6 linked regions of the Kluyveromyces lactis genome follow. The protein of the gene in region 5 purifies or fractionates together with the protein of the main gene of each other region. This does not show direct contact. Links are inferred from orthologs where the notes say so. Each region holds a gene or a part of one and is shown on either strand. Other genes may lie near its edges.

Region 1 (2,734 bases), on a different chromosome or scaffold from region 5:
TGTATAGCAATGGAGCAACAAGGGCCACAGTAAACAAACCCCAGAATGGGTACAAGTAGAAAGCCGATCTTGGATGTCTAGACCACAATGGCTTAGAAGAGTGTTGGAACAGCTTTTGTAGTTCAATAATTTTGCTTGGAGAAGGCATCGTTCAATGTTTGGGGCTATGATTAAACAAATGTATTGGCAATCGATGAACAACAAACAAAATATACAAATACTATGAATCAAATCGAAAACTGTATTCACCAAGTGTAAACTAACTATCATAACAGTTTATTTCTTCCAAAATTTTTTTTAATCTCAGTATCTGATATTCCCCTACTGGCTTTCGAGTGGTGTGAAAATTCAACTTCCCTCTAAACAGCGAAAACTCCATAGGCTGGGAAAAGATACGGGGACATTCAGGGTAACTGCGGGGTTGTTGCACGTGATGGTGGTTTACACGTGACTTTTAGTATCGTTAGAAGGTTGTACAAGGTGTATATACGCTGTTATTGTTACTCATCAGAGTCTAGGACTATGAGACGTTTCTTACGCGCGGAGTTGTTGTTGTTGTTGTTGTTGTTGTCTTGACTATGAGTGAGACGGATGGTGTGCGGTTCTAGTTCGTCGTTACTAGTACTTTCGTCAAGGGAGTCACCACTCGCGTATCCATCGTCATTATGTTCGTAGAAATCACTGTCGCGAGATTCGTTGTCATCGTCATCTGAGAGGGCAACAGATGCTCTACGGAACTTCCGTTCATCTTTCAATTCTTGTTCCTCTTCCTCTTCTTCTTCTTCTTCTTCCTCATCCACTATGAACGAATCTATCGATCCTCTATCTTCCTCTTCCTCCTCTTCTTCTTCTCCATGCATAAAGTTCCTAGGCCGTCTTGTGGGCCATGCCTGGTCCATCTCTGAACTGAGACTCTCATCTCCCTCTTCGGCTTCCAAATCGTGCACAGTACGTGCACTCTCGGCTCTATAATTGTCCAAATCTCTCTCAACCTCTTCCAGTTCTCCGTCAGAGTACTCATCCACATCAACTTCGTCGAAGTTCTGTGCACCCGCATTATAATTCCGTATCGTAGCATTGCAGTTAGGACACACGGGACCCTCAACTTCCCATTGGCAATTGCTACACCTTGCTATCCCATCGTCATCATCGTCTATGATGGCTTTGGCAGTATTCTTAAACACACTGTTGAATAGCGTTTCTTCCAACAGGTCAGACTTGTATTCAGCAACGGAGCATTCTCTTTGTGTGAGCAGTGATCGTACTTCGGAGGAATTCGATTTCTGTGGGTCCTCCGCTGCTATATCTAGCATCAGATCGACTATTTGTTGTAAGGCAACGTTCAACGATGGTTCATTGGTAATCACATTTCGACATTGCGGACACGTTAATTCTGATACGTTGGATCGATTGTTGTTCAACCAGTTATTCAAACATTCGTAACAATAGTTGTGTCCACAGCTCGTCATGACTGGTACAAACATATAATCGTGGCATATCGTGCATACTGTGGAATCAAGCACTCTGCCCACGATTCGTAAATGATCCGCATTGGATTTTTTCGGTATAACCGTATGTAAATGTCCGTTCATCTTGATAATGAGGTGAAGATCGAAGTTATCGTTTCTTAATATAAAGCGGGTTCGCCTGCCATCCAATTGAATAATGTATCCCTAATCATCTCGCGATGTATTGTTTCGCAATCGCAGCTTTTTAAAGGTTTTTTCCTGTTTTTGGTCTTAAGGGCTTTTCTTTTTAAGAAACTGAACGAAATAATGGCAACAATGTAATGCACAAGAGACGAAGATATAGCGTACGGCTAAGTAAGAGTTCTTATAATTGGGATATTATTCTCGAATAAATATACATATATCTTTACATATATTGAAATGCTGAATTAAATTTTGTTGTTGATGATGTTGATGCTAAGGTATATACGTCAGGCCTAGTTTTCATTCTCTCCGATATTCTATTTACAAGTGGAGAGATGACAATGGTAAGACGAGGACGCAGAGAAATATATTTAACAGCTCTTTATTTGAGCTTGTGTTGTGCCAGTGTCCTATTTCACAACCTCTTTGGGTGCCTTTCTATACTGCTTTTCCAGTTCCAACTGTTTTTGATAAGTTGAAGTCTGATGCTTGTATACTTCATGATCTAACCATTTTCTTAGATACGTCATTAACTCTTTGATGGCATCTAGCCCTTCAAGCTTGGTAAAGGCATATCTTTTTCGTAGTTTCTCATACTCCACTATCATTGCGTTGGTATCCTCACAATTAAATTTATCAAAGTAAGCGATGTTGTATTTCACAGTACTCAACAAATATTTAGTGACGATAACATGGGATTCGTTATTCAACTTCTTTAAAGTTGATAAAAATTTCTTTGGCTCCTTTAACCTCACGAAAAATGCAAGCAATGACCTGTATATGATATAAGTAGCCCTACTGTCCGTTGGGTCCCTGGTCACAATGCTCTTTGCAAATAATTTGTCACATAGGTATCTGCCTTTGTATCGAGACGCTAACATGGCCAATTGGATATAGTTCTGGAAATTCAATTCGCGTTGATGCTCCTTCACAAATCGTTCGATCATTTTTAAACTCTGAGATCTCATGATTTCATTAGGTTGTTGTGCTTTCCGTAGTTGATATGCTAATTTGTACAAGTTTGCACGTAAGTTTAGAATTTTGACCTTCAAAGGAATGGTCCTATACGAGCTCTTGAGCGT
Region 2 (3,488 bases), on a different chromosome or scaffold from region 5:
CAATGAGCGATGCAAGCTTCATTGTATAAAGAGGTACCCTGTCAAGAGTGATCACGCATTGTGTGTCATATCCAGTGCCAATTGATGGTCTTGTGTTCGCTTTTTTTTATGAGTCACTCTTACTGATCTCTCAATAGGATGGTGCATCTTATCAAAAAATTGCTCTCTGATTAGGAATTAATTCCGTGTTCGAACCCCACTTGGACCACTTTTTGAAAAGACAATGATGCAATGTTAGCTATATGATAATATTAGTCCGTATCTATATAATGATGTGTTTAAAGGGTACCGGGCTATAAGTATCTCTTGCATAGGTAGAAACACCATTTTTCGAATTTGTATCTCCATTTAAACAAAATGTTTCTGTTGTGTAGATTGACTTCTATATCGTTCTGATCGAATGTGAACTTCCCACTGCGCAATAGTTGTTGTTGGAATGCAATTATGATGAAATTGAAATAGAATCTGACTGCTAGTGGAACTAAAGTTAGCAATATGATGAGGAAAAATTCATAGCCGCTAGAAGCACTCTTAGAAGTATCTACTTTAGTTGAGATCGTGGATGTGGTTCCCTCATGAGCTGGTCCAAGTGCGGTTCCCGCGCTCTTCAAGTCCGTAACGTCAGTGGAGCCCTCCTGGCTGAACCACACAGCAGTGAACCATAAGCAGTAAATGCAACTAACAATTGTGTCCACACTGAACACAAAAGTAACCGTGGACATTAAGAGGATATTGGGCTTATAAACTTGTCTTATTCCTGAAATGAATACCACTAGACAGAAAATTGACCAGATGTAAAAAGTCCATTGCACAAAGTCTAACGGGTGTCCAGTGAAAAGTGCAAGAACACCATACATCCCGCTGAATTTGTTGAAGGTTAGCACACCAAGTGCAACCTCAACACCTATGTACAAGGGATAAGACAGGAATGTCTAAAGGGCAATGTCATCTGTTAGTACATATTACTGGTATCAAAAAAAAACCATGCATCAAACGATCATGTAAAAACGTCTTTCAACTGCGGTTAAATACCCAAAAGAAACATACTTGTGGCAAATGAACCATATTTGATTGCTGCTGCATAGGAGTATAATAAGGACAAACCCTGACGTTAAAGCAAGTTGGTTTCTTCCACTTACACAGGTAGACCTTTCAATTCATCTACTGAGCGTTTTAGAATGTTTACAACTATTTCCTCTATTGAAAAGCAATTCGCGATCCTGTCTAGAGCATCGTGAAAAAAAAACGTAGGAAAAAAAAAAGTACGCTACTTTACTTTAATGGTGTACAAGATGAGCGATGAGGTTGGAATAGTGGTTATTTACAGAACAATATACGCCGTTCAGCTCCTGTGTATTGTCAAATTAGTAAATCAGAAAGCAGAAGTTATCTATAGTTGGACTACGAATGATGAATATTGACGATAAGCTGGAAAAACTGAATTTAGCCAACCGTGATGAGCATGTCAACACTCAGATCCTAGAGAGGTATGCCAATAGCATCAAAACAGATGAGTTATCATTAACTAGGGGTAAAACCAGCAAAGATAAGGCGAATAGGGCCACTGTAGAGAATGTTTTAGACCCACGTACGATGAGGTTTTTGAAATCCATGATGAACAGGGGAATATTATCAGCATTTAATGGTTGTTTGAGTACAGGTAAAGAAGCAAACGTGTACCATGCGTTTGCTGGTAATCATGAGGAGAGACATCTGCTGGTAGAGGGACATGATGATACAATAGGAGCCCCACAAAATATTGAATCAACAAAACAAAAAGCTCTAACTGCCGAATCTGAGGATGCCACATCCACTTCAACTGCCACTGATGAACCAAAAAATAAGAAGGAATACGCGGTGAAGATTTACAAGACATCTATCTTGGTTTTTAAGGATCGTGAAAGATACGTTGATGGTGAATTTAGATTCAGAAATTCGAGATCTCAACATAATCCTCGTAAGATGATCAAAATTTGGGCTGAAAAGGAATTTAGAAACTTGAAGAGAATATACCAAAGCGGTGTCATACCTTGTCCAAAACCAATAGAAGTTAGATCAAACGTTTTAGTCATGGAATTTTTAAATAGAGGAGATGGTTTCGCATCTCCGAGGCTTAAAGATCATCCTTACAAAGATAGAGAAGAAATTAAACATTACTACAATTTAATGATAGCGTACATGAGACTGTTATATCAGGTATGTCGCTTAGTTCATGCAGACTTGAGTGAGTATAATAGTATTGTACATGAGGATAAGCTTTATATTATTGATGTTTCGCAATCCGTACAACCAGAACATCCTATGTCTCTAGATTTCCTAAGAATGGATATTAAGAATGTTAACTCATATTTCCAAAAATTGGGAATTGACATTTTCCCTGAACGGGTGATCTTCCAGTTCATCATCAGTGAGGTCTTAGACAAATTCAAGGGTGATTACAGATCAAGCGATGATCTAGAAACATATGTTGCCGACAATTTACCTCTAAAGTTGACTGATGAAGACGAAGCTGAAGATGAAGTGTTCAGATCTTTACATTTGATAAGAAATTTGGGTGGTTTAGAGGAAAGAGATTTTGATAGATTCACTGATGGTAAATTTGACCTACTGAAATCATTAATTGCTAATGAAAACAGGAAATATTCCGAAAATTTCACAGCATCGGAGCAATATGAACTCTCTTCTTCTGATGACGAGGAAGATGACGTAGATGGTGATGATCTCCCTAACCTCGTAACGGATATCAATGAAGATGACATAGCTGGATCAGATGAAGATGATGATAGTGATGAAACTAACGATAGTTCTGATGGTGATGGATGGGTCTCCGATAAAGACACTCCACTGAAAGGAAAAAAGTACGAAGATAAAGATGCTAAAAAACAACGTAAGCAAGAAACAAAAGAGGCCAAACGTGAAAAGAGGAAGACCAAAGTAAAAAAACACGTTAAGAAAAAGCTCATTAACAAGACGAAAAGCAAGAAATGATCAATTTAAAAATTCTATGCAATTTCAAATATTTAATATTTACTTAGCGATTTTAAATAGATCCACCGCTTTGATGTTGCCCTACAAGACCTGCCATTTCCAATAATGCACGATCTTCTCCCATGCTTTGTAAGTTGATCTTTTGCCTTCTTTTGGCTTCGGCCTCTTCCCATTGCCATTGCTTTACTTGCTCTTCGAGCTCTTTTTCTCCTCCGCATCCCCACACTTCTACATCTTGGATTATGAATCGGTATTCGAACGAATTCCGTTCTTCTCCACGTCCACTTATTAGACGGCCAGGCTTAAAACTCCCACCTGCTCCCAAATGTCTAAATATACCGAACTCGAGAGATGAATCAATAGTAAGTGAAACATTTCCTGGGAAGTATTTTTTACCGTTAGCTTTGATGATAGGTTGAGAGCTACCAATACCTATACCTCCCCCAACAGTGTTGAAATATACGTTTCCTGTCTTGAATGGGTCCGCATCGAAGATCTCT
Region 3 (4,207 bases), about 610 kb from region 5:
GCGACTTCATGATTGTCGACCAGTTCAAGTTAATTGTAGAAACAGTATATGGAATATCAACATCTGTTAACCATGTCTTAATGAATTCAAGTTGCTCAATTGGTACAGTGTTTATATGAGAAACAGGCTTTGTCAAATCTTTATAAACAAAGACCATGTCAAAGTTCTTCAATCCAAATTGAACTCTTTCAAGTATACAAATCTCAACTTCGTTCAAATTTATGACTAAAAATGGCGGTTCAACTAATTGAATTAAGCAGTCTCTCGTTGGCATACAGAACACGGCTGATCTAGAAGGAACACCTTGGAAACCAAGATCTCTAAATGGAGAATCTACATCTAGGAGACCATCGGATGCCTCTGCTATAGCTTCAGCAAAATATCTAAATTCTTTATCAAGGGCAGCACGTTTTCTTCTTTCTTCTTGTTCTTGTTCTAATTCATCTTCATCACCATATCTTCTAAATTTCATGTTGTTGCGTCTGCTGTTTCCTGTCTCATCGACAGCCATATCAGATGCTTCTCTGTAAAATTGAATATCTTGGATCTTCTTTTTACCCATTAAAATAGGATTCTTTAGATGAACATGAATGATCACAATAAGTTCTCCCTTTGATGATTGGAAGAATAGATTCTTGATGTTTGAGAATAGGATATCAATTCTTGAATCTGTCCTCAATGGAGACTGGTATCTGATACCATTTTCATGAATGAACACCGTACCTGGCACACGCTTGGTATCGGGACTAGGCCTGACAAAGATTTGGTCCAAACGTTTAGTCCTACCAGTTTTGTTCTCCACCAATTTAGCCTGGACAACAACATCAGCCAAAGCTTTTCTTTCCTGTTCACGTTTGGTAGATTCCTTCTTAAGATCAGTAATTTGTTTGAAAACATCGCTCATGCGAGCACCATCCTTAGATCTTAAAGTTAGAGAACGAACAAATTGATTCTCTGGGTTCTCTTCATACGGCAACTCCTCAGTTTTCTTACCGACACCTCCAGCACCAGGAGAATGGAAATTCAATCTGAGATAAGTGTATTCACCTTCTTCATTTTTAGAACCGTTTTTGTATGAATTGATATGAAAAGGTACAGGTCTACCATAGATTGGTAGAATGATTGTCTGACTCTTCCAGTCGACATGAATCTTCAAATCACGTACATTGGATGGTATTTGAGTTTCCCTAACGTAAGATTCGTACTTTTTGAAGAAATGCTTTGGCTTCTCATCGCCATCTACTGCATCTGCATCACTGTATCTGAGTAAACCTTCCTTCTGTAATCTTTCATGAAGTTTTCTTTGGTTCTCTTTGCGGATTTGTTCTTTCTCTTCATCGTCAGCACGACTTTCTCCACGTAGCTTAGATCTCAAAATCTTCGATGTACCATCAGGTTTTGGTAAAGCAGGAGGCTTGCTTTTTTCAGATTTAACAGTTGCAGCTTTGTTCTCTTCTTCGTTGTTGAAGTAAAACGAGATTTGGGATCTAGCCTTTGTGTACTTGGTCAAAGTGGATGGCTTTCCATCAGAAGAAAGTTGAACGGTATCTGCTAATTGAACAGCATATACCTGACCAGTTTTACTATCCTTTAAATTCCCAAATCCGAGTGAAATATTGTAACAGCAATTCTCTGAAATTTTATGAGCGGTTGGTTTAGCATTGATCATACCAGCAGAGTCTCTAAATTCCAACCCCATCAAAGAACCAACATTTTTAGTAAAGTGAGATAATAATTCCGGTTTCTTTTCTTTGATGAATTCCAGTGTCTTTTCATAAATAGATGTTGGATCAGCTTCTACTTTTAATAAATCATCGATGATCTTCTCTTGCAAAATCAATAAAAAGTCATAATTGTCAGTCATTTCATCTGTCGGGTCAATCAAAAAAGTTCTGGTGATATTGGAACAGTAATTCTTGTATCTGATACCGCATGAGGCTAGGATGGAACCCTTTCCGAAAAGTGAGTCGTTGTTAGAACGAGCAGAAACCTTAAGGTCGAACTTAGAACCTGATTGCACAATTGGAGAATAGGCCCAATCAAGGAAATTAACGTCGAATTTCTCGTCGGTAGGACACAAAGGATTTAGATCACTTGAAAGTTTCTTCAAAAACTTGGAATCATCTATCTTGTTTTCAATTTTATCTGACAACTTAGAATTTGATATTTTTAGTTCTTCGTCAACAGCATTGACGATTTCATTTGACATAAGATCCATGAATTTGTCAGATCCCTTACTGGATACAGAAAGGTAAGCCTTTTCCTTATCATCTTTGCCCTTCCAAGTAGAAGACAAACCAGCAGAGCAATCGATTACGTTTAAAGAATGCGTCTTTTTAGCTTCTTCCCAAAGCGGTTTCCATTCAAGAATGAGCTTACCTTGATATGAATCCTTCGTTGGGACACCGACAGTATTACCGTTTTCTGATAACAGCTTGATGAGGTCCTCAAACAATTTCTTATTGTGATTTGCATCCTTGTTATTTCTTTGCCAGATCTCAAGTTTGTAATCTGATCCTTCAAACTTAGTAACAGCGGGCAAAAGATGTTTCGCCTTAGCACTGCTGGTTATGATGACACCTTTATCCTTGAAAAAGGCAATCAATGTAGCTGGAAACTCATACCCTAGCAACCAATTATGCAAAATGGTGGTCTTTTGATAAGGGTTTTCCTCATTAGTCGAACCAAGTACAAAGAGAAGACTATTTGGAGAACCTTCAAATCCAGAATATGCCTTCCCTAATTTTGTAAACCTATCATAAAAGGCTTGGAAATCAATTTCAATTCCTCCGTCACTCATTGTTACTTGAGATTAGCACAATGGGGTCCTCAATATCTAACCAAAAAAGACAACTGCCACGCCTAATAGAACAATGAGTTTGAAATACCGAGCCACGAAATGCTTTGCAGGTTATTTCAATAAAAGTACCAAAGAGTCCCTTTGCTTTAATTTCCTGCCAGCTCTTAAACAATGGGTATAGTTTGCAAAAATTATTAATGTTACTCTTCAATTTAAAACTATAATATATGCATTATTGGCGTCGCGTTTTTTTTTTACTAAATTTTGAAAAATTCAGGTTAAAGGGAGAATATATCACTGTAAACGGATTTGATTCTCTTCACGTGACTGGAGATCAATTCCATACTAAGATGCTTCCAATGTATTTTGAACCGAGGATGACTATAATAGAAGTTAACAGTGGAAAGTGCACGTTTACTTTTCATTATTGGGTGTATATCAACATCAAAGCCTATAATCACATCGGGGTGGTTCACTGGTTTATTTGTACCAAAATAATGAGTGGGAACAACTTAAGTTCTGCTAACCATCTGGATAGCGAGAAACTAACAGAATTATTGAGGAAGAAGTATCCTTTTTTGGTGATGTATGATGGGAAGAACGATGTAATAGATCTTGGAAAGTTTTATTTAGGATTTGCACATTTTATGTCGCGAGAAATTACTTTTGCGGAGCAAATCAGCAGCGAATTTATATTCGCCTTCATGCGAATAGACTCAGAAAGAAGACGTCTTGAGCATGATGACGAATTGTTTTCCAAGGCATCCGATGATCTTTTGGCTACAAGAAGAAATATAAACAGATGGGCTAAAGAGTTAGAAGTGCAAATACTTCCTATTGTACTCTCTGCATACCAAATTCTTGCAGGTGATTTAACTGAGGGAGTAGAGAAGATAAAGGAAGCACTTAGGGATGAAACTTTGGATGGATTAGCCATAAGACTCAATATCCTTTCAGCGTATGCTATCGATATTATTAACGAAGTGATAACTATTTATCCGGAAATGTACAACCTGTCGGTATCTAATAAGAGAAGTCTTGGGGATTACTCTCTACACCTCACATTAGCAAGTCTTCTTTTGCAGTCTCTTCATCTATTTGCCGACCTTTGTGAACGCCATCCGAATTTATACCAACGATCGTTGCAACCTTTCACTTATGAACAATTCCAGATAGAATTGCAGGAAAAGTCGGAAGCAGTTACCAAGATCAACGAGGAATACGAGGAACTTATTAAAAGCATTACGACCATAACATTTAACAATGTAATAAATTACATGAAAGACAAGAAGACAAAACTACGAGACACTTCTAAAGAATACCTTTCTAAAGAATAGATATGAAGTAAGAAATTTCGACGGAATTTGTTATATGCATTGCATCTCATCACGAATAAATAAATTATAG
Region 4 (2,278 bases), on a different chromosome or scaffold from region 5:
GTCTTTTTAAACAAACAAATTGCACAAAATAAAATGTTACAATAACTGAACCAGAAAGGTAATACAAATAAGTAACAAACGAAACAGTATAAACTAACCAAGATAACTAAAAACTTATAACAAATTAAATAAATGAAACAACATCACAAGAACTTATTTAAAATCGTTATATAATTCATCCATCTCTGTGAGAACAGTCCTTAATTGTTGTGATGAGTTAGCCAAAAAGTGAAAATTTTCATTGAAAAATTTAAAGAGTTGAAAAAGAGTTTAAAGCTTTTCCACAAAAGGAAAGGTAGGTACGTGCGAAATGATCTGAGGCATCACCACAACAAACCAGGTATTTTACTAGCAGCCGGCTGTTTCTGGTGCGCCCTTGTGCCTCATGTCATTTATGAAGGTAATAATAACTAATAGCAATATGTTGTTGATTAGATATCTTTTTTTTTTTCGTAAATTGATAGGCGTATATATCTCTATGTTTTGTTACATTTGACTAATTAATGTTCAGAGGCTTTGATTTTGTCGTACATCGCCAGGAGTTTGGAAGATGGGACATCTCTTGGCCAGTAATATGCAGTGAAAGACCATAAATGTCTTTTATATTTTTCTGGAGAGGTCTTAGACGAGTCCTTCTTGTGCGATTCGATGTAGTCACCAACACGTTTCAATTCCTTCTTCAATAGGTTAGCCCATTGCTTACGTTCAAGACCGTCTCCTCCAGATCTTAGACGTTTGAGTGAGCTACGGACGTTTGTCATCGTTTTCTTACACTCTTCTTCGTCCATACTGTCGTATTCTTTGTCAGGAAGACGGATATCGGCTTTTGGTGCCAACGGTATGTCTTTACCTTTCCTCTGCTGTTTTTTCGATCCGACGACAGGCGTACCAGATCTTGATGATGGTTGTTGATGGTGATGGGCCTTGCCACGCTTTGTTTCGGAGCTATTGTCTGGTGTAGAGTCCTTGCCGGTTAAGTTAACACTATTGCCGTCACTTGGGGTACCAGCGGTATGGGCATTTTCGTTCCCATTGCTGTTCCCAGCAGTAGTAGCAGACTTCTTTGGTTTACGTTTGTTTTGCTGAGGCGTCGTGGTTCCGGTTGACGAAGAGCCGGCAGGGTGAGATGGATCAGTTTGGGGACCCTTAGCTTCGTCTCTTAGGACAGTGAATAAGTAATCGACTCTTCTACCGAGATGCACAGCACCGGGAGCTTTCTTCACTGTTTTCTTATTAGTGTTTTCAGAAGACGCCGTCACGATTGGTGTGTTTGCCGTAGTGTCAGGAGTTTCTGTCTTTACAGCATCAGCACCAGGTGTTGAAGACCCCGCAACAGATGCCCCTGGAGCAGATGGTGTGAGACTAGGTGCTGCAGGAGTGGCAGCTTTCTGAGTAACTTCATTGTTCAAGAAAAGTTTTTCAGTTAGTCCCAAAAACGGATCATCTCTGATTTGCATCCATGCACCGTAACCATACTTATAGATACCGATTAACAGCTTCTCATCGTCTTCTTTACCCCATACGCAATTCCACGCAGACACAGGTTTTGGATTCTTATTCACGAACTTGAATTGTAACGGGTCGTCTTTGTAGTTTCTTTCCACAAAATTGGATAAGAATTTTAGATTGTCGCGTCTATTAACAAGGGTGTCTGCGTTTAGTGCTTTAGTATCGTGGAATTCGAATAGGATGGCTCTTTTCTCTCTTCTTTTAGCAGATAAAAGAGTGATAGGAGTTTCTTTACCAGCATCATCTTCAGGCTTAATTTCCAAGTTTTTAATTTTCTGTCTGTATTCGGCTGCATCCTTTTCTAACTTACTAAATATTTCATGCCTCTTAGCCTCTTCGTCTCTCATCAAAGTTTCTGCCTCTGTAATCATTTCGTGGTAAAGCTCTTTATATCTATCAATAGATTTTACGGGTAATGATCCATCGGCAATCAGCTCTTCAAACTTGTTTTCAATATCACCAAATCGAAGAATACACTTGTATAATGCTCTGATTTCTCTTTCACCAAAAGCGTCCAAGTTGTTAGCTTTAGATCTCTTTCTAGATTTGGAGTTACCTTCGTCTTCTGAGTCACTCCCAAACGTTTCTCCGTTGACAGATCTCTTAATCTTATCAATGGCAGCAGTTTTACGGTTCATTATATCTAACTGTTCTCTGACATATTCTTCGTCGATACGCCTTTGTTCTTCATCCTTTAGTTTCTTGAGTTCATCTTCGGGGATAATGTCATCCCAATCAACATCAGCTTTATAATCCGTAACTTCAAACT
Region 5 (2,722 bases):
AGATTGTTTTTTTCCCTGTGATTGAGAAATATAGACTAATAATAATGGCATTTTCAATTCTCATCACTGAACTTTCACCGCAATAATAGTTTCGATCATGGGTTTTTGTAACTATTTCCACCCTGTTTCATATTCCTTTGGTCTATTTCCTTTCCTACTTATAGTAGTGTCTCTCTCTCTGCGCCTGCGCTAGTAAGAGCCTTTTCTTTCAGGTTTGGTAGCTATTACACCTATTAATTATATATCCTTTTTAATGAATTAACGACTATCATAATATTACATCTTCTTTAAATCTTAAGCAAAAGAGACATGTGTTTCTGTCCTCTTTTTCAGGTGTTGTATTAATTATATGTTATTAGTATACATGCTTTTAATTGGAAAGCAATCAAAGACAGAAGAAGAATCCCCCAAAGTTAACCATAAATGGAAGATAAGAGGGAAAAGAAAATTTGATGATAGAGAGATGAGAAAACAGATATATATTACCGTTTAGGCATACACTATGAGAAATCTTTTTTGAAGAATTTATGCTCCATGGCTTCTTTTGCAGTTAATCTCTCTTGGTGATCATAACGTAGTAAATGGTCGATCAAATCAATTATTTCGTCCACAGCCAACGGCGTCTTATCATTGGCGAAATAGCTCCATGGTTTCCGTTCGTAGTTCTTCATGATATCGTTGTATTCTGCAGGAAGATCCAATCCGTAATGTTTCAAGTAATAGAATAACTCCTGCGTACCAAGTACCTTGGCAATTTTCACCAATTGATCTGCATTCGTGCTTCCTTTGAAAAATGGCTCCTTCTTGAAAACAATAGCTGCTATCATACATCCGACAGCCCACAAATCTAAAGAGTAATCGTATTGGTTTAAGCTCACCAAGAGTTCAGGTCCCTTGTGATAACGAGACGCCACCCTGATGTTATAATCCACTCCCGGATGGTAAAACTCTGCTAATCCCCAATCGATCAACCTTAGCTTACGTTCATTAGGATCAATCATGACGTTTTGAGGCTTCACATCACGATGCATGATACCCATCGAATGACAATAGTCTAAAGCAGTTAACAATTGTGTGAAATAAAATTGCGTATCCGATAATGTAAACGATGGATAAAGCGTACGGAAGTCGACATTTTTCACCTCTTCAAAGATCAATGCCGGGATTTTGGATCCTGGATCTTGAACAATATCCAATAATCCAATTATATTAGGTCCCCCTGTCAAATTAGTTAACACTTTTAACTCTCTATAAATTTTCTTCATCTTCACTGGCTTGAGAACCTTGATGACGCATGGTATATCGTTCAATACAGATTTCCCTTTGAAAACTTCACTGTATTTACCACGACCAATCTTTTTTATCACTTCATAGTTCGAAATCTTACCCCAATCAATCATCACGCATTGTTCATAATCCCAGTACTCTTGAGGGCGTTTCTCACAAGCATCCTGATACACCCTAGCAACGCTATAAACTCGTTTGCTCTTCTTATTCAACGCAGAAGGTTGTAACGTCGACATGATGAGAAGGAAATCAAAAAAAAAAAAGAGATGACCTCCCTTTTCCCGTTTTCAAAACTTAGAGTCTGATGTGATCCAAAACGGTACTCTCTAGCCTCTGTAGTCTCTAACCACTTCCAACTTCTGGCTGTCTATTGTTCAATTACGTTGAGCAATAACATTTTTTTTCTTTGCCTTCACTTTATTTCAATGTTGAAAACTGAAAGCATTTTGTTTGGAGCCGTGAAAGCGTCGAGAGAAAAAAGATTCGTATGGTAACAATGGATATAAGCTAAGCTTTTGCACCGTGAACCACAATACAACGGCGGACTTTCATATACAGGGAAACTAAGACTATAAAGGAGGTGAATACATTGTCTGGTCAGTTTCAAATTGTTAAGTGAAAGTAGCAAACGTGAAAGAAGACCTCGGTAGGCCTGGTATTAGGGGAATTGGACCTGGAGAGTTGCGCGATGAACCTATGACACTAGAAAAAGAACTTATCTTGAGGCTTAATGTGGGTCATAACACTGTGATAAGAGACGTCCAGTTGTGGCGTGAATTTGAGGACGGTGATGGCCAAATTGCAGTGAAAAATTGTCTGGCAGAAGTTGTTGGAATGGTCAACATTGATAAGCTGCCGTTTTGGCTCAATAGAGGTCAACGGTACCAATGCTTCACTACTAGCGAGACCAGCGTCAATTATTTCAGAGCGAAGTTGATGAGACAACGACACAGGAATCGAGGAATTGTATGTAAAGTAACGGGATCCCAAGTGTTGACGAAAGAGCAATTCGAATATTTCCTATTCTACAAGCGTTTGAAGACCGATATAAACGCGTCTTTCGAAATTGAATCGATGGTACTTCACTTATCGACTAAACACGAACTTGATAAGAAATTGATACCGTTATCAGCCGACGAACTACAATCTGTTGTGCCAAGTAACGCTGGAGCAACGATGTCGATCGAATCGATTCTAGAGAAGAACAAACGTCAGCGAATACTGAAAAGTAACTCGTTGAACAAACAAGTCTTGCTCAACGATCAACAGCAGCAATTTATGTCGTTGCTGTCTCAGTGCATACTTTCAGGACTCAGGCTACGAGGAGTTCATCGAACTCAACACGAAAAATTGTACAAGATGACGTACAAGGCGTCTGAATTCGCTTTCAGAGACGAACTCAGAGAAACTGAACCCATTAGTTTTGAATCGATCC
Region 6 (4,178 bases), on a different chromosome or scaffold from region 5:
CAACGGAACCTGGCATGGTGAATGGACGTGGCTCTACAAATGGCTTAATGGCAATAAGCTCAATCAATTCTTCTGACAAATGGCCATATAAGAGATGAGAATCTAGCCATTTCTTAAATAGTCTTACCACTGGAGAGTAGAATGGGTAACTATGGGAAATGTTTTCCAAAGTTCTAGTATGTCTAATAGCAGCTTGGTACTTGGCAGTAAATTTCAAGAATGTCTTTTCCAGCTCTGGTCTTAGTTCTTTTCTTGCGTTGTTAATTGCTCTCAAATACATAACTTCGTCTCTCTCAGTTAGAACTCTAAACTTGAAACCGTATCCTTCTGGAGTCAAAATGTTTAGAGTAACTATTTCCAAGTTGTATGGAATCGATTCATCACGTGTAAAGTAGCACTTGTACTCACTATGAGTCTGCGTGATGGATTCTTGAATCTTCAATAAAAATGCAGCTTTAGCCTTTTCCAACGAAGTAATTTCGTCAGGCCATTTTGTAGACGTTTCGAATTCGATAACAACGTCTTGTAAGAAATCAGGATTAGAATATGCGTATGGGACAGGCTGACATAATGATGTGTACCTGAATGCAGAACCAATAGGTAAAAGAGATTTAATTGATAATGGGAGTTTTAGCTCGAACATGATTTTATACAAATCGTCAAAGGACTTCTTCAAGTTATAGTAGCTTGATAGGTTTAGAACTGATGTCTTTGAAGATGCAGGTAGGTTCGGTAGTGGTAACAACTGTTGGAATTGGCTAGTGGAATTATTGATGAGTTTGCAGTCTTCAGTCAAATGTAGCCTTAGAACATAGGACAAAATCGAAGAAACAACACTTTCAATAGCAGAAGTTGACCAGACACAGCAGTTTGCAATGGAACCGTCCTTGAATCTACGAAGAGATGCTTTTTTACCCCAAAAAATCTTGAATTCATTAGCTTCATTAGTTAATTCTTCTGTGTTCTCTGGGCCCTTAGTCACAAGCTTCTCACATTCTGCAGGGTTGATCAACAGTTTAATTTGGATTGAAGTGAAATTTGGAACAGCAGCAACTTTTCTCTTTGTTACTGGGAAAGTAGATCTATTGTTAACTAGAGCCACTTCAAAAGCTTTGATTCTATCCTCAAGGGCAATCTTCACGATGTTCGATACTTTATTGCAGATGAAATTTTCGAATGATATAAAGCTAATCTTTTCAACGGGACCGAACTTGGACAGTAGTAAATTGATGGATGGGATATCTAAATCATAGTAAGCATCATATTTCACTGTCTTGATCTTGTTTAAGTTAGTTAAGAACATGTTTTCGAACTGATCTCTGACGACGTCATTCAACATCAATAAACTTTCTTGCGCGTAGATCTTTAGCATTTGATAGCTGTTAACAGACATTTTACTCAGTATGTTAACTTTGGTGGTTTTATCAAAGATTGTAGGTGTTTGGAAACCTTCTTCAACGTATTTTGAGGAAGTGACAGTTGCAGTAGTGCTATAGTCGGAATAGAATTGTAAGTACCCATCAGTACAAAGATCCATTGTGGCCAAATATTTGATTACACCTTTGAATAATTGGTAAGATGAGAACCCATGCAATAAAATTCTGTTACCATTCAACCCACCACCATTTAGTAGGGCTGCCATCAACGTGGCAAACTCGAAATTTCCAAAACCACCCAACGCATCTGAATGAGACATATTTGATGAGAAGCCTCTCTGAGATAACCATAGCTTCCCCAAAATACAAGCCTGTTTAAACTGTTCTGTTTGTTTCTTTGATTTGTGTAAGTACTTCAAATAGTGTTCGTGACAAGAAGATGATAATACCGAGAAATTGTAGAAAGGTGTCGGAGTTTCGTTATCCTGACCGACTCTGATACAGTTCTTATTGGGTAGCAACTTCTTTGATTCGAAGAAATTGTATGGGAACCCCACGATCAAGTTTATGCTGAATTTAGTCTTGTAGAAATTATAGTCCGATGAAGTTTTCTCCTTACAACTTATCTTTAATACCGTTTGTAAAGGATCGTTGTTAAAGTATGAATATTCCAAGTGTAAGAAATCCAGCTGGCTTCTTTTCAGGACGAGTGAGATATGATGAGTCAAATACGCGAGGTATACTGAACGCTTGTGGAAACATCTAAAATTCAAGAAATCTTTCTTTTCGAACAACTGCTCAGGCATAGTCAACAAAACGTCTACTGCGGAGCCCTGAGGTTGGTAGATGGCAGTCTTCAACCCGAATGATCCAATTAAACTCACGTCCGGCTTTAAATAATTGAATTTGTACTGTGTGTTCTTCGCTTGTGGTTTTGGATCCACAAACGGAACTGATACCACTTTCCCATGGAAATATTTCTCTACATCTTCTAAGCTTTGCGGAGTCCATTCCGGTACTTCCTGTATCATATCATATAGTTTATGCAAAAACTTCTCCACCCTTACGATGTGTGAGTCCTTCAACTTCACTTGTTCCAATAACTCATCGATTTGTAATTTGAAAATGTTCGATTTGAAGAGTTCAGCCGTTTCTCTCGCTATTTGTATATCCTGGGAGCTCAACTTTGGCTTCTTAGCCTTATGGTCATGTGTGTTTTCCTCTTCCTCGTCTTCTTCCCCGCTGGAAGAGGCAGTAGCCTCTTCCTCTCTTTCTTCTTCTTCTTCTCCAGAAGAAGAAGAACCAGTCTTGTCACTGTCATTTTCAGCCTGTGAGCCAGTAATAGCTTTTACAAGCGCCTTCTTGGTGAAACTACCATTCCTGGACTTCTCACCATCTGGTGCTACACGTTTCACAGAGGCCATAGTTCACTAAATATCCACTTAATTCACTAGTTCCTGACCGTTTGCGCCTCTGGATTGATTATAATACAGAATGATAGCCAGTGCCCGAGTCCTAGGGTTTCAATTTCCCCTAGCCAAAACAGAAGAGAATTACCCTTTTAATATCTAGCAAACTAATACGAGGGAAATCCAAACAAAATCACTGTGATAAACCTGCCTATGGGTACGTTCATTCTATGTAAATGCGAATTCTTTAAACCTTTAAAGCTCATCGCCTGGCAAATTTTTCCAAAATTCGATGTGAAGGATTTTGATGCGTCTGTCACTTTATACGACGTGTCCAATCTCAGTCTCTCTGAATAATCAGTTAGATAGTCAGATACATAGAGTCATACTGGACTAAAGCCAAGTCCAACTCAAGTGCTGGAACTGGTACTATCCCGATATGTAGTAATATAGGGAATACATGGTTTTAGACGTACCGTATTGCTAGTTTTAGTGCACAATGTTACTTTAAGAAAAAAAAAATAGATTCGAGGAAGGTCAGATTGGATATTGAAAAAGATGAATGCCACCTGCCAGAATTGAACTAGCGACCTTTGCATTACAAGTGCAACGCTCTACCACTAAGCTAAGGAGGCACGAAATCTATTACAAATTTTACAGATTTTTTAGATCATTCGGCGGGTTATCTGTTGAGACGGATTAGAAACAATAGACGGTCAAGTATCAACATGAAACATCATTAACCAATCTGAGTTATTATATAAAGAGGCCATAGATCTGGGGAAAGACCATCAACACAGTCATGACAGATCGCCAGGTGCATCAACACACTAGCTATATATAGCTAGTAAACACTATGGATTCATCTGATACCGAAGGTTTTGAATTAATTACACGTGACTGTGACTGCGACAACCAGGATCACCTACATGGCAGCGTCACTGAGTCTCCGCAAGGAAGTAATGATCCGACAAGAGGTATCTGTGAAGATATACAAAGACTCGATATCGTTAGTGATGGTAGTGCTCCTAAACAGAGTTTAAAAGAGGATAAAAATGTTAACCCATACTCAGACTTAGATCCCGAGAGAGAGATATTTGGAGGAAGTACTTACGAAGTGTTTGATAGGGAATACAGATATCGAAGCAGTCTGTTGTTTAGTTATTCCAAGAAGAATAACAACTCGTGTGACAGCGAATATAAAGCTTTGATGACTTTTCCAGGTTCCAAGACAAGACGTCTGTTCATCTACAACAAGTGAAGTCAAAGGACCAATTTAACAGATGGGTTTACTGTTTAATTGGACAATTGAGACTAGCGGGACTAGAGAGTTTTATCCCGAACAAAAGCAATGACTGGTCCATAAATATAATTGACAACGACGAATTATCAA

The links.
Region 1: the proteins of CKA2 (region 5) and PSH1 purify together in Saccharomyces cerevisiae (affinity purification with mass spectrometry; 3 studies listed by BioGRID, with this or other methods). This does not show direct contact. The link is inferred for Kluyveromyces lactis from reciprocal best matches to the Saccharomyces cerevisiae genes CKA2 and PSH1.
Region 2: the proteins of CKA2 (region 5) and RIO1 purify together in Saccharomyces cerevisiae (affinity purification with mass spectrometry; 3 studies listed by BioGRID, with this or other methods). This does not show direct contact. The link is inferred for Kluyveromyces lactis from reciprocal best matches to the Saccharomyces cerevisiae genes CKA2 and RIO1.
Region 3: the proteins of CKA2 (region 5) and SPT16 purify together in Saccharomyces cerevisiae (affinity purification with mass spectrometry; 9 studies listed by BioGRID). This does not show direct contact. The link is inferred for Kluyveromyces lactis from reciprocal best matches to the Saccharomyces cerevisiae genes CKA2 and SPT16.
Region 4: the proteins of CKA2 (region 5) and CHD1 purify together in Saccharomyces cerevisiae (affinity purification with mass spectrometry; 7 studies listed by BioGRID). This does not show direct contact. The link is inferred for Kluyveromyces lactis from reciprocal best matches to the Saccharomyces cerevisiae genes CKA2 and CHD1.
Region 6: the proteins of CKA2 (region 5) and UTP22 purify together in Saccharomyces cerevisiae (affinity purification with mass spectrometry; 4 studies listed by BioGRID). This does not show direct contact. The link is inferred for Kluyveromyces lactis from reciprocal best matches to the Saccharomyces cerevisiae genes CKA2 and UTP22.

The regions. Positions count from the first base shown.
Region 1 is NC_006038.1:766,666-769,399, reverse strand, and holds PSH1 (ubiquitin-protein ligase PSH1), read right to left. Parts: upstream 1,593-2,734; coding exon 501-1,592; downstream 1-500. Other genes in the region: COX7 (cytochrome c oxidase subunit VII), read right to left, coding at 1-148; PET111 (Pet111p), read right to left, coding at 2,063-2,734.
Region 2 is NC_006041.1:1,885,045-1,888,532, forward strand, and holds RIO1 (protein kinase RIO1), read left to right. Parts: upstream 1-1,407; coding exon 1,408-2,988; downstream 2,989-3,488. Other genes in the region: KEI1 (Kei1p), read right to left, coding at 294-932, 1,048-1,083; RTC5 (Rtc5p), read right to left, coding at 3,041-3,488. UniProt on the Saccharomyces cerevisiae protein: Required for the final endonucleolytic cleavage at site D converting 20S pre-rRNA into the mature 18S rRNA. Required for the final steps of cytoplasmic maturation of the 40S ribosomal subunit.
Region 3 is NC_006042.1:906,571-910,777, reverse strand, and holds the start of SPT16 (chromatin-remodeling protein SPT16), read right to left. Parts: upstream 2,801-4,207; coding exon 1-2,800. Other genes in the region: KLLA0_F09867g (uncharacterized protein), read left to right, coding at 3,028-4,137. UniProt on the Saccharomyces cerevisiae protein: Component of the FACT complex, a general chromatin factor that acts to reorganize nucleosomes. The FACT complex is involved in multiple processes that require DNA as a template such as mRNA elongation, DNA replication and DNA repair.
Region 4 is NC_006039.1:1,550,690-1,552,967, reverse strand, and holds the end of CHD1 (chromatin-remodeling ATPase CHD1), read right to left. Parts: coding exon 501-2,278; downstream 1-500. UniProt on the Saccharomyces cerevisiae protein: ATP-dependent chromatin-remodeling factor which functions as substrate recognition component of the transcription regulatory histone acetylation (HAT) complexes SAGA and SLIK. It recognizes H3K4me.
Region 5 is NC_006042.1:1,518,601-1,521,322, reverse strand, and holds CKA2 (casein kinase 2 catalytic subunit CKA2), read right to left. Parts: upstream 1,524-2,722; coding exon 501-1,523; downstream 1-500. Other genes in the region: SLD7 (Sld7p), read left to right, coding at 1,984-2,722. UniProt on the Saccharomyces cerevisiae protein: Catalytic subunit of a constitutively active serine/threonine-protein kinase complex that phosphorylates a large number of substrates containing acidic residues C-terminal to the phosphorylated serine or threonine.
Region 6 is NC_006040.1:1,246,613-1,250,790, reverse strand, and holds the start of UTP22 (rRNA-processing protein UTP22), read right to left. Parts: upstream 2,801-4,178; coding exon 1-2,800. Other genes in the region: KLLA0_D14762g (uncharacterized protein), read left to right, coding at 3,642-4,046. UniProt on the Saccharomyces cerevisiae protein: Involved in nucleolar processing of pre-18S ribosomal RNA and ribosome assembly.